Linked DNA regions of Macaca fascicularis. The protein of the gene in region 2 interacts with the protein of the main gene of each other region in a pairwise test. Links are inferred from orthologs where the notes say so. Each region holds a gene or a part of one and is shown on either strand. Other genes may lie near its edges.

Region 1 (5,949 bases), on a different chromosome or scaffold from region 2:
GCTGTCTATGTCCCTGTTCCCTTGGCTTGGGTGGCGTGGGCATGCGTCTAGCTTCTACTCTGGTTCAGGTCCAACAGGTCCGCTCTGTGCCTGTGGTGCCCCCCAAGCCACAGTTTGCCAAGATGCCCAGTGCAATGTGTAGCAAGATTCATGTGGCACCTGCAAATCCAAGCCCGAGGCCTGGCCGGCTTGATGCGACTCCTGGAGAAAGGGCTTGGGGGGCCCGAGCTTCTCGATCCTCTTGGAGGAATGGGGGTAGTCTTTCTTTTGATGCTGCTGTGGCCCTAGCCCGGGACCGCCAAAGGACTGAGGCTCAGGGAGTTCGGCGAACCCAGACCTGTACTGAGGGTGGGGATTACTGCCTCATCCCCAGAAACTCCCCTTGTAGCATGATCTCTGCCCATTCTCCTCGGCCCCTTAGCTGCCTGGAGATCCCACCTGAAGGCACGGAAGGGTCTGGATCCCGGAGTCGTCTTAGTCTGCCCCCCAGAGAACCCCAGGTTCCTGACACCCTGTTGTCCCCTCAGCGCCGATCGTATGCATTTGAAACACAGGCTAACCCTGAGAAAGGTGAGGGACTGTGATTAGGACCACAGCCCTGGGCAAAGGGGACCAGTAAGTTGTCTTGAATCTCCAGGGTTCCTGACTAGCTGTCTCTTCTGCAGTCTAGGCAGCTGTAGTGCCCAACTCTATAGGCTTTGGCCCTCCAGCTTCTCTGACTGTGGGAGGCACTGCCTTGTCTCAGACAGAAAGCACTTATCTCTTAGGAGATTCCCAAGAAAGTCAACAAGATCTTGTTCCCAGGGAGTGGGTTACTGGCCAAAGGGAACATAAGGTAGGCAGAAAAGTTAAAAGAGTTTCTTAAAGTGAAGACTGGAGAAGTTCCTCCCTTCCTCTGAGCTATGAATCTCTCTTCATGAAAGCCAAAGGTAGAGACGGGGGACAGGGCCAGGTTAGGGCCTTCCATACACAAACACTTCTAGAGTTGCCCATTCCTGTTCTGCTCTTGGACCCTTAGATACCTCCTGTCCTTTTTAGATCCAGATTAAGAGAAACGTTCAGGAAGCTCTTTGAAACCCTCAGTATTTGTTGGAGGGACTGGACTCCTCTCCAGCTCCCCACCCTCTGCCTCCAGTCACCATGTGCAAGAGAGATCCTGTACAGATGTCTCTGGGCTCTCGTTTTTCCTTTAGAATAACTTCTTCCTATTTCAGGAAAGGGAAATGGTGTCACTCAGGCCCTGGGACTGCTTCTCCAGCCAGGTTGGGGCCATAGGTCCCACTCTAGTGAAGGTCAATGTCTCAGAATAAAAGCTGTATTTTTACACGTAGTGTGGAGTCTCATTACTCTTATTAAAGTCTTTGGTGATAGCTATTATATCTTCATATATTTGGCAAAACATTCTTTTTCTTCTTGTTGTTTGGGTGCTCTTCCTCAGTTGTTGTCATGGAGACTAGTGGCTAGAAACTAGAGCTAGGTTCATGGTGGTCACGAAATAAGGAAGAGAAACTTATATTTACATAATGCTCATTATGTGCCAGGAACTGGACTAAGTATCCTGTGCTCATAAAATCTGTGTCCTTGATTTTATTTAATCCACATAAGTCTGGAAGGTTGGTGCTAGTATCTCCAGTTTATAGATGAGGAAACTAAGGCTCAATTAAGTCAAAATGTTTGCCAAAGGTCTCAGAGGTAAGAAGTGGCAGAGATGGGTTTGAAACCTGGATCTGCCTCGTCCCCAAGTTTGAATTCTTCCCATTATACCACACTACTCCAAATCCATTCAGGGTAGGTCTTGATTGAGAAGAACAGGAATCAAGATTCCTGTCACAGAAAGTGTGAGCCTTTAGAAAACTAGAAGCTTTGGGGTCTTCGGGTTAGTGACTGCCGACGCGAATAACAAGGAACATACCCAGTTCTATGCATGCCCTGATAGGTCGTAATCTCTAGCAGGTAGGTAATCTTTCAAAAAGACGCCCTGAGCCAAGATGGCCTCCCAAATAGCCCTTGTTAAAGATGGCGCCTCCGTCAGACGTCCCTCCCTTCATCTCAGCTGGATTCTCTCTTTTTTCCTGGAATGAAAAAATGCCCTGCCAGCACTAAGATGTCAGTACAAGTTAGTGGTCTCTTTCCCGTTCTTGTCTAAAGTGGCCAGGGCTTCAGCTACATACTCCAGGACACGGCTTCTTCCCGACTTCACAGAAAACCCACAAACATCAGCTCTCATCAAGATGGAGTGAGCGGAAGTGGGGCGGCTCTGAGTTTGAGTTTGTGGGCGGGCCGAGAGCGACACTTCCGCCCCTCACCAACATGGCTGCGGGTTGCAAGTGCGCATGAGCAGCTGTCTATGGAGCTACCTAGGTCGGGAGAGGGAGAACACAGTTGGAGAAAATCGGCGGCTGAGACGGCCTTGGCCGGTGAGTGTAGGACCGGGCAGAAGTCTGGAAACTGGGTGGACTGGCAAGGCAGGGCAGGTTTGATTTTGTTTCCTTTTTTCTGGTTAGAGAACACTGCTGGGGAGGAAGCCTTTGTTTTGGGCGGGGGGGGGGGGGTGTTGTGCTGGTTCTTTATCTTCTACCCTGCTTTGTGGGCCAAACTCCCTGCCCCCGAGCGCGAGCGTCCCAGCCCTCCTGCGCTGTCCAGCTGCGGGCCGCAGCCGCCGGCACCGGGCGCCTGAGCCCCCTAGTCCCCGATGTCCTTTCCTGCCTCCTCCGCGGAGCAGCTGGGGCGCGGGGCTAGACTGCGGGGCTGCGGGTCACGGCGCAGGCTCCCGGGCTCGCGCCTGGCGGGCGCTCAGCTCCTTAAGCGCCTTCTGGTTGGAGAGCCTGCAGGGAGACGCCTCATTCTCAGGCAAGGTCTAGGCGCCTGACTTCTTTCGGGAGTAGATTTTTTTCCCTTTGTGTCCAGACTTAGCAAGGGCTCTTACTGGGCCCTTCTGGCCTGAGCGTGCCCACCACAACGTCCCATTCCAGTTTCCGTGTCACAGATCCCTAATGCCTAGGAAATGCTTCCGGATGTCCAACTAAGATTTGAATAAGTACCCTGACCCCGTTGCTGGGTGTCCTCAGAGACTGCCCCGGCTGACAGCTGTGGCCAATAGAGATGCCTCCTGTGCCGGGCCCTCTATTTCATTGCCTTCCCCTGCAGTCAGCGCGGCAAGCTTCGCAGGGCATTTCCTCTTCAGGTTTGAAGATGGAAATGTAGGTGGTCCCAAAACACTAGTGTTACTTCCCCTTATCGACTGGGATCTCCTTGCAGCGTTACTTCCTCTGGACGGTTTCACTTTCAGTTCCTTTTTCAACATTTTCCTCGGACGCGGTCTTTCCAAGGCTTATCCACTGAAAATTTTCCCTGGATAGGAAAGGTTTGGAGGACCTTATGGGTAGAGAATTTCTAAAAATCTTGCCCCTTTTGTGTTGGGATTATCTTATTGCTTTGTACTGTGTAGCTGTTTCTTTCTGGAGGCATGTCTGCCCAGCTCTTTGTTTTTCCTGCCCTCTGGCTGGGTGTCAGGGTCCTAAGGCAGAGCTTGTAGGTGGATTCTTCCCCCTTTGTCTCTTCTTCAGAACCCTGTTTTTTTTTTTTTTTTACCCCTTCTTGCCGAGGCTCAGTTGATTTGGAGTTGTCATAGCAACATTTTAGCAACTGTGTTGTTCTACAGGAAGGCTTGATGAATAAAATAGAGGGTGCTTGAAGAGGATCCACTTGGGCTTTAGGGTTTCTAACAGATTATATAAATCGGAATACCCCAAAACAAGAATCCTGTCAGTAGAATGGGGCCCAAAGGCCAAGTCTAGTCTTTGTGGTCAGGGACATTCTTCCAGTGGTAGTGGGCTTGAGATTTCCTCTTCCTAGGTTTGAGAACAGAAATGTCTTGGTGGACAATATGTGGCTGAGAAACTGGAAGAAGTATCAGTGTCCATGACACGGTATTTTTTGATGGTGGGGCCAATACATGGCCCTTCCTGATTCCCATGAGGCTGCCATCATGGCAGGTCATAATAGCTTTAATAGTGATCCATTTAGAAATGTGTTGTTGGCTGGGTGCGGTGGCTCATGCCTGTAATCCCAGCACTTTGGGAGGCTGAGGCAGGCGGATCACCTGAGGTCAGGAGTTCCAGACCAACCTGGCCAACATGGTGAAACCCCATCTCTACTGAAAAATACAAAAATTAGCCGGGCATGGTGGTGGGCGCGTATAATCCCAGTTATTCAGGAGGCTGAGGCAGGAGAATTGCTTGAACCCAGGAGACGGAGGTTGTAAGCTGAGATTGTGCCACTGCACTCCAGCCTGGGCAACAGAGCACGACTGTCTCAAAAAAAAAAAAAAAAAAAAAGAGAAATGTGTTGTTTCAGCCAGGTGCGGTGGCTCACACCTGTAATCCCAGCACTTTGGGAGGCCGAGGTGGATAGATCACGAGGTCAGGAGTTCGAGACCAGCCGGGCCAACATGGTTTAGTAGAAACCCCGTCTCTACTAAAAATACAAATATTAGCCAGGCGTGGTGGTATGCACCTGTAATCCCAGCTACTTGAGAGGCTGAGGCAGGAGAATCACTTGAACTCGGGAGACAGAGGTTGCAGTGAGCTGAGATCGCGCCACTACACTCCAGCCTGGGTGACAGAGCGAGACTCTGTCTCGAAAAAAAGCGTTGTTTCTGTCTTCCAGTATAATTATCCCCTCTCTACCAGGAGTTGGAGTGATAATGGAGGGACAAGGAACACTATTTGTAGAGTTGCTTTTTCAATCACTGTAGGCCAGTCCTCAACATCAGTATGGTGGAGGCTGATTGTCCCCTGCAGATGACTGGGTTATTTTCCTGGCTGTGTGTTCATGGAACCTAAGTTCTAGAACCGGAGATACTGTTCTGTTTCCTAGACTCACTGCAAACTTCATGATTTCTACCAGGACTTAGCACTCAGGCCTGTGAATAGGAGATACAAAGACTTCCAAAAAAGGACCAGTTCCTCGGATGTGCCCCCTCACAGAGAGATGAAGGGGTGAGTGAAGAAGGGGTAGGGTCTGGGATGAAAGATGGGTGGCCTGGAAGAATGCAAAATGGCCAAGAGCACTGCCTCTGGAGTCAGGCAGACCTGGATTCAGGTTCTACTCTATCACTTACTGTGTGATTTGGTTTCTTCATCTATAAAATGGAAGTAGTGCTATCTATCTCATGGTGTTGTTTTTAATATTAAATAAGAGTACATGTGATGTACTTAGCTTAGTGCTTATGTACATAGTAAACAGCAAACACTAGTTGTTATTCTAACCTAACTCAGCTTCTGTTGGGAATGCCAATGAGTTTGCAGCCATATGTTACTGGGCCGGTAAGCTTCTCATTGACTTCTTCCCATACTCTTCCTTTTGTCCTTTCACCACAAACAGGCAGCAGAAAACAGCTGAAACGGAAGAGGGGACAGTGCAGATTCAGGAAGGTGAGTGCTAGAGACGGAACCAAGACTAAGAACCCATCATGGCCTCCCTTCCTCCCCCACCAGACCATCTCCTGTGCATCCTCCTCCTTCAGTGACATGCACGTGGAACGGGGATAGAAAGGCAGTTAACTCACAGACTTTTCTTTTGTTCTTTTAATTCAGGTGCAGTGGCTACTGGGGAAGACCCAACCAGTGTGGCTATTGCCAGCATCCAGTCAGCTGCCACCTTCCCTGACCCCAACGTCAAGTACGTCTTCCGAACTGAGAATGGGGGCCAGGTAAGGGAGGGGGCCAGGTGGCTGCAGGTGTTATTTGGGATTGGGATTGAGGGAGGTAATTGAACATGTCTTGGGGAGACCTGGCTTGGAGGATGAGTTGAAAGAGTGGACTGTTTCAGGGGAGGGGGGTGCTGATACTGGAGTAGAGACTGGTGTGAGGTTAGGTGTATGCTGAAACCTCTGTGTGGGGAGAGAAGGGAGAATGGCTCAATCCGTGTCTCTGAAGGACTTTGTTT
Region 2 (6,058 bases):
TTTTTTGAGATGGAGTCTCACTCTGTTGCCCAGGCTGGAGTGTAGTGGCATGATCTTGGCTCACTGCAACCTGTGCCTCCCAGGTTCGAGTGATCCTCCTGCCCCAGCCTCCCGAGTAGCTGGAATTACAGGTGTGCACCACCATGCCCGGCTAATTTTTGTATTTTTAGTAGAGACAGGGTTTTACCATGTTTGCCAGGCTGGTCTCCAACCCCCAACCTCAGGTGATCCACCCACCTTGGCCTCCCAAAGTGCTGGGATTACAGGCTTGAGCCACCACACCCAGCCTAGTATCTTCATTTTCAGACAGGAGAACAGTTGTCCACAGACACAGAGCCAGTGAGTAGGAAACAGTATTTGAGCCCAGCAGCTGGTCTTTTACCCACTCCTGCACCTGTTTGCACGAAGAGGATAATTACAGCTCCCATCTCACGGGGAGGCTGTGAGAATCAAGTGAGAGAATGTGTGCGACAGTCTGGTAAGTGGCAGGTGCCCAGTGCAGAGGGGCTGAGGCAGGAAAGAGTCACTGCTGTGGGTTCAGGCCATCCCAATGCTTTTTTTTTTGCTTTTTTTTTTTTTTTTTTTTGAGACGGAGTCTTGCTCTGTCTGTCACCCAGGCTGGAGTGCAGTGGCCGGATCTCAGCTCACTGCAAGCTCCGCCCCCCGGGTTCACGCCATTCTCCTGCCTCAGCCTCCTGAGTAGCTGGGACTATAGGCGCCCGCCACCTCGCCCGGCTAGTTTTTTGTATTTTTTTAGTAGAGACGGGGTTTCACCGTGTTAGCCAGGATGGTCTCGATCTCCTGACCTCGTGATCCACCCGTCTCCGCCTCCCAAAGTGCTGGGATTACAGGCGTGAGCCACCGCGCCCGGCCTTTTTTTTTTTCTTGAGACAGGCACTCACTCTGTTGCCCAGGCTGGAGTGCAGTGACCTGCGGGCTCAAGCAATCCTCCCACTTCAGCCTCCTAAGTAGCTAGGACTACCGATGTGCACCACCACATTTGGCTTTTTTTTTTTTTTTGAGACAGAGTCTTGCTTTGTTGCCCAGGTTGGAATGCAGTGGCTTGATCTTGGCTCACTGCAACCTCCACCTCCCTGGTTCAAGCAATTCTCCTGCCTCAGCCTCCCAAGTAGCTGGGACTACAGTCGCCCACAACTGTGCCTGGCTAATTTTTGTATTTTTAGTAGAGATGGGGTTTCACTGTTGGCCAGGCTGGTCTCAAACTCCTGACCTCAGGTGATCCACCCGCCTTGGCCTCCCACAGTGCTGGGATTACAAGAATGAGCCACCGCGCACAGCCTGGCTAATTTTTTTAAAAAAAATTTTTGTAGAGACAGGGTCTCACTAGGTTGCCCCAGGGTGGTCTCAAATTCCTGAGCTGAAGCAGTCCACCCACCTCAGCCTCCCAAAGTGTTGAGATGACAGGCTTTAGCCACCTGGCATGGCAGGCTGTCCCAATCCTTTTTTTTTTTTTTTTTTTTTTTTTTTTTTTTTTTTTTGAGACGGAGTCTTGCTCTGTAGCCCGGGCTGGAGTGCAGTGGCCGGATCTCAGCTCACTGCAAGCTCCGCCTCCCGGGTTCACGCCATTCTCCTGCCTCAGCCTCCCCAGTAGCTGGGACTACAGGCGCCCGCCACCTCGCTCGGCTAGTTTTTTGTATTTTTAGTAGAGACGGGGTTTCACCGTGTTAGCCAGGATGGTCTCGATCTCCTGACCTCGTGATCCACCTGTCTCGGCCTCCCAAAGTGCTGGGATTACAGGCTTGAGCCACCGCGCCCGGCCCCAATCCTAATCTTAGCTCTCAGCTACTTACTGCCTGTGCGACCATGGGCAAGTTATTTAACCTCCATGTGCCTCAGTTTCCTCATTTTTAATATTGTTACAGGTGAAGATTACAGGATTTCATTGATGTTAAGAAGTACCATTTAATACCTCTGAAATCAGTTTAATTGGCAATTTAAAAAATTTTAGTGGACCAGGCATGGTGACTCACACCAGCATTTTGGGAGGCTGTGTCTAGGATCACTTGAGCTCAGGAGTTCGAGGTCACACTGGGCAACACAGTGAGACTTCATTTCTACAAAAATATTTAAAACAGTAGCTGGGTGTGGTGGTGCGTGCCTGTGGCCAGGTCGCTTCCCAGCTAGGATCTCAGTAGGATTGCTTGAGCCCAGGAGGTTGAGGCTACAGTGAGCTGAGTTTGTGCAACTGCACTACAGCCTGGGCAACAGAGGGAGACCCTGTCTCAAAAAAGGAGAGGAGAGGAGAGGGGAGGGGAGGGGAGGGGAGGGGAGGGGAGGGGAGGGGAGGGGAGGAAGAAAGAAAAAGAGAGAAAGAAAGAGGGAGGGAGGGAAGGAAAGGAGGGAAGGAAAGGAAGGAAGGAAGGAAGGAAGGAAGGAAAGAAAATTAGTGGCATAAAGTTATGGTGGGTTTTTTTCAATCGATGAGGTCTTCGACTCTGTGAAATACGGTAAATGATGTGGCAAGCGCCCAGCACGACGTCCCTGTTCCCATTCTATCAACCAGCTATCTGAGGAGTGGGCTGGGATGGAGCTCAGTGTTCTGGGAGAAGTGGGTTCGAGCTCTGCCGCTGGGCCCTGGGTGTGGGCGCCCAATCATCCGGGAAGCGCCCCACAAGCCCAGGCAAGTCCCGACAGCAGTAGCCTGAGCCCAAGCGCTGCGGGCCCGGCGGCCCAGTGACCCCAGTTCCGGGTCCAAGGCACCGCCGGCGGCATCTCCCACTCCCGAGGTTGTCCGGGCCCGGGCCGCTCCGGGCCAGGAAGGGAGGGGCGCCCCGGGTGACTCAGCCGCCGTGACTTGGCCGCCGTGACTCGGCGGAACGGACGCCCCTCCTTCCCTCCCCTGCCGACACGTGCTCGCAGCCCCTCGACAGGAAACGGGCACCTGCAGCCTCCCGGGTGCCCCCAGCGGGCAGCGGGCGCCGTTAGGGGCCGGGAGCGGGGTCGCGAGAGTCGCCCGCAGCCTGACCCCGCGCACGTCCCGGAACCTCGAGGTCTCTATTCGCCGCATTCGGCAAAGGTCCACTGCCCGGACCCCCCGGGGCTCCCCAGGCGGAGAAACGATAGGGACTTGGCGACGGAGGGGCGAAGGACAAACAGACGGACGGACACGCGGACGGTCGCAGACCGGGCCGGGACTCCCACCCCGGCCCAGCTGCTCTCCCGACGGATCCTGCCTCCCTCCCGTGTTGGGACATCTCACCCCGGCCCAGACTCCAGATCCCAGGAATTCAGCCCAAGGCGAAGAGACCCTCCGAGCCGTCGGGGCGGCCAACCCAGGCGCCCACGCTCCTTCTGAAGCAGGGTGGACGCAGAAGTCAGAGGTGGGCAGGAGGAGAGAAAGCGGGCAAGGAGACAGAGGGACAGATGCGGACTGCAAGGGAGAAGGGGGCGGCTGGGAGAAGGGGAGTTCGCGGGTCTCTGCCGCCCGCTGTGCAGTGGGGGCAACTGGCCCCGGACGCCGAGGGGCAGGATCCTCGCCCTGGCCCCCAGCCCGGCCCAGACTCCGCTTCCCGGCTCCAGTCCCGGAGTGTGCGGCAGTTGACCCGGCCTCCCACGCGCCGTCCTCCCGGGGGACCCCCGGCGTCGGGCCCCTCTCACCTGCTGGGCTGCCTGCGCTGTGGCCGGGTGCTGCGCGGGGCCGCCATACCCGCCGCCGTTCCCGGAGCTCGGGCCTGGTTCCCCGAAGTCTCGGAACATGCCCGGGGCTGGCGGCTTCGCGGGGTCCACGGCTGCTGGGTTCTGACTCACCCGCGCCGTGCGGAGTCTTTTCTTTTTATGAATGAAAAGTTCTCGGGCTGAACCACTGCGACCGCGGGGGGTGGGGGCGTTGCAGCGACGCGGTCACCTCCAGGCTCCACCCGCGAGACGCGCAGCCTTGGCCCGTCGGTCCCGAACTTGGCGACGCCTCCCCCAGTCCGGCGGCAGCCTTTTCACTGGGATGGGCCCGGCTCGGCGTTCCCCGGTGGCTGCGGGCCCGCCCCCCTGACGTAGCTGCCCATACATGGTGCAACTTCCTCGCCGCGCCCAGGTGGAGCCCCGGGTTCCCCCGCGGACTGACGCACCTGCCCGAGCCCGCGCACAGCCCCAGCCCTCTCGCGGCCTGGGCTAGTCTCCGTTTCTGCTCCCACAAAATAGCGTGAAAGAATCACATCTGTAGGAGCCACGCCAACCGCGACCCAAAGCTTCGTGGAGTGAGATCTTTCCGCTGGCCTTGTTTTAAGGCTTCGAGTATATGAAAAGTGAATAAATGACAAACCAGGGTTACAAAAATGGTGGCATAATTTTATTTTATTTTACTTTATATTTTTGAGACAGGGTCTCTGTCACCCATGCTGGAATGCAGTGGCTGATCTCGGCGCACTGCAGGCTCAACTTCCTGAACTCAAGGGATTCTTCTGCCTCAGCGCTCCCTCCAAGTAAGTGGGACTACAGGCTTGCGTCACCACGCCCGGGGAATTTTTGTGTTTTTTGTAGAGATTGGGTCTTGCCGTGTTGCCCAGGCTGGGTGGTATATTTTAAATGTTTACGATAAGGTAATGCTTTGAACTAACCACACATACAATGCAATATAATTGTATTACTCAGGATAATTTCAGGAACCATAACGAATTTTAATTCAGGGCCACTACAGGTGTCCTGAGGTCTGGTAAACGCCATCTTCTTTACTGTCAGTGCCTTTCGGCCACCAGTCTTGTTTGGAGAGTATGTCAAAGGCGAGTGAATGTGAGGCCATGGCCAAACGTGCTTGGGAGGCAGGTATCATCCTCATCCCTGTTTTACAGATGGGGAAACTGAGGCTGGGAGATGTTGAAATGAATTGCTTAAGGTTGCTAAGTGAGTAGCTGGCACAGGTTGCCAAGTCACAGCCATGGGCGCTCCAAGCCCAGGCTCAGCCAAGATTTTTCACAGCCCTTACACTTTTACAGACACCTTGTTGCACATCCAGAATGTCAGTGCTAGGTACCATCCCAAAGCTTCTTCTCTGATTACTTCCATCTATAGGTGAGGAAACTGAGGCCCAGATGGAGAACTGAGCTGCCAGCTGTCACACGACTACAGAAAGAGGGCTGGGGCCAGGTGTGGTGGCTCATGCCTGTAATCCTAGCACTTTGGGAGGCCAAGGCAGAAAGAACCATTTGAGACCCCATCTCTACAAAAAATTAAAAAATTTTTCCGGACATGGTGGTACTCCTGCCTTGTGGTCCCGCTATTCTGGAGGCTGAGGAGGGAGGATGGCTTGAGCCAGGGAGGTCGAGGCTGCGGTGAGCTGTGACTGTGCCACTGCACTCCAGCCTGGGGGACAGAGCAAGACTCAAAGTAAATAGATCAAGAGGGCTGGGCTCTCCTGCTTCTCCATCGGTCCTTCCATTTCATCAGCTCTAGCTTTTCCCTCTGGGCTACTTTCCTTGGGAACACAGGCCAGCAGTCTGTGGGTGCACTCGGTACTTAGAGCCAGGAAGGCCAGTTTGACCCTGGGGTTCTAGTCCCAGAGCTACCATTTTCTGTCTGTATGACACTGGGCAGGTCACCTTCCCTCAATTGGGCCTCGCTGCTGATCTCACGGAGCTGTTGTGGGATCAAATGAGATCACAGATGTGAAAGTGCTTTGTAAGCTGTAAAGTGTTGTGCACTCAGAAAGTCATTACCAACCTGGTGCCTCTCCTTTGCCTTTGAACGACCCAATGTTTGTCATCCTCTGGTCATCATGATCTGTGTGTGTGTGTGTGTGTGTGTGAGAGAGAGAGAGAGAGACAGAGACAGAGACAGAAAGACAGAGACAGAGAGAGAAAGAGAGAGACAGAGAGAGAAAGACAGAGACAGAGAGAGAAAGAGAGAGACAGACAGAAAGGAGAGGAGAGTGTTTCTGAGGCAGTGTGATCCATGGACAGAACACTCGTGCTGGGGTCAGACAGCTCTGGGGTCTGGGTTTGAATGTGGTTAGGCTGCTCACCAATTGTGTGACCTAGATGAGGCACACAATCTCTCAGAGCCTCTTTCTTTATCTGTGAAATGGAGACATAATGATAACTATCTCAAG

The links.
Region 1: the proteins of FOSL1 (region 2) and USF1 interact in binary tests that used the Homo sapiens proteins (3 or more experiments, as listed by UniProt). The link is inferred for Macaca fascicularis from reciprocal best matches to the Homo sapiens genes FOSL1 and USF1.

What each region holds. Positions count from the first base shown.
Region 1 is NC_088375.1:100,028,497-100,034,445, forward strand, and holds the start of USF1 (upstream stimulatory factor 1), read left to right. Parts: upstream 1-2,297; 5' UTR 2,298-2,333; coding exon 2,334-2,474; intron 2,475-3,291; exon of another isoform or gene 3,292-3,364; intron 3,365-4,878; coding exon of another isoform or gene 4,879-4,908; coding exon 4,909-5,000; intron 5,001-5,385; coding exon 5,386-5,435; intron 5,436-5,597; coding exon 5,598-5,713; intron 5,714-5,949. Other genes in the region: ARHGAP30 (rho GTPase-activating protein 30), read left to right, coding at 1-584.
Region 2 is NC_088388.1:8,498,232-8,504,289, reverse strand, and holds the start of FOSL1 (fos-related antigen 1), read right to left. Parts: upstream 3,767-6,058; 5' UTR 3,718-3,766; coding exon 3,619-3,717; intron 3,342-3,618; exon of another isoform or gene 2,827-3,341; intron 1-2,826.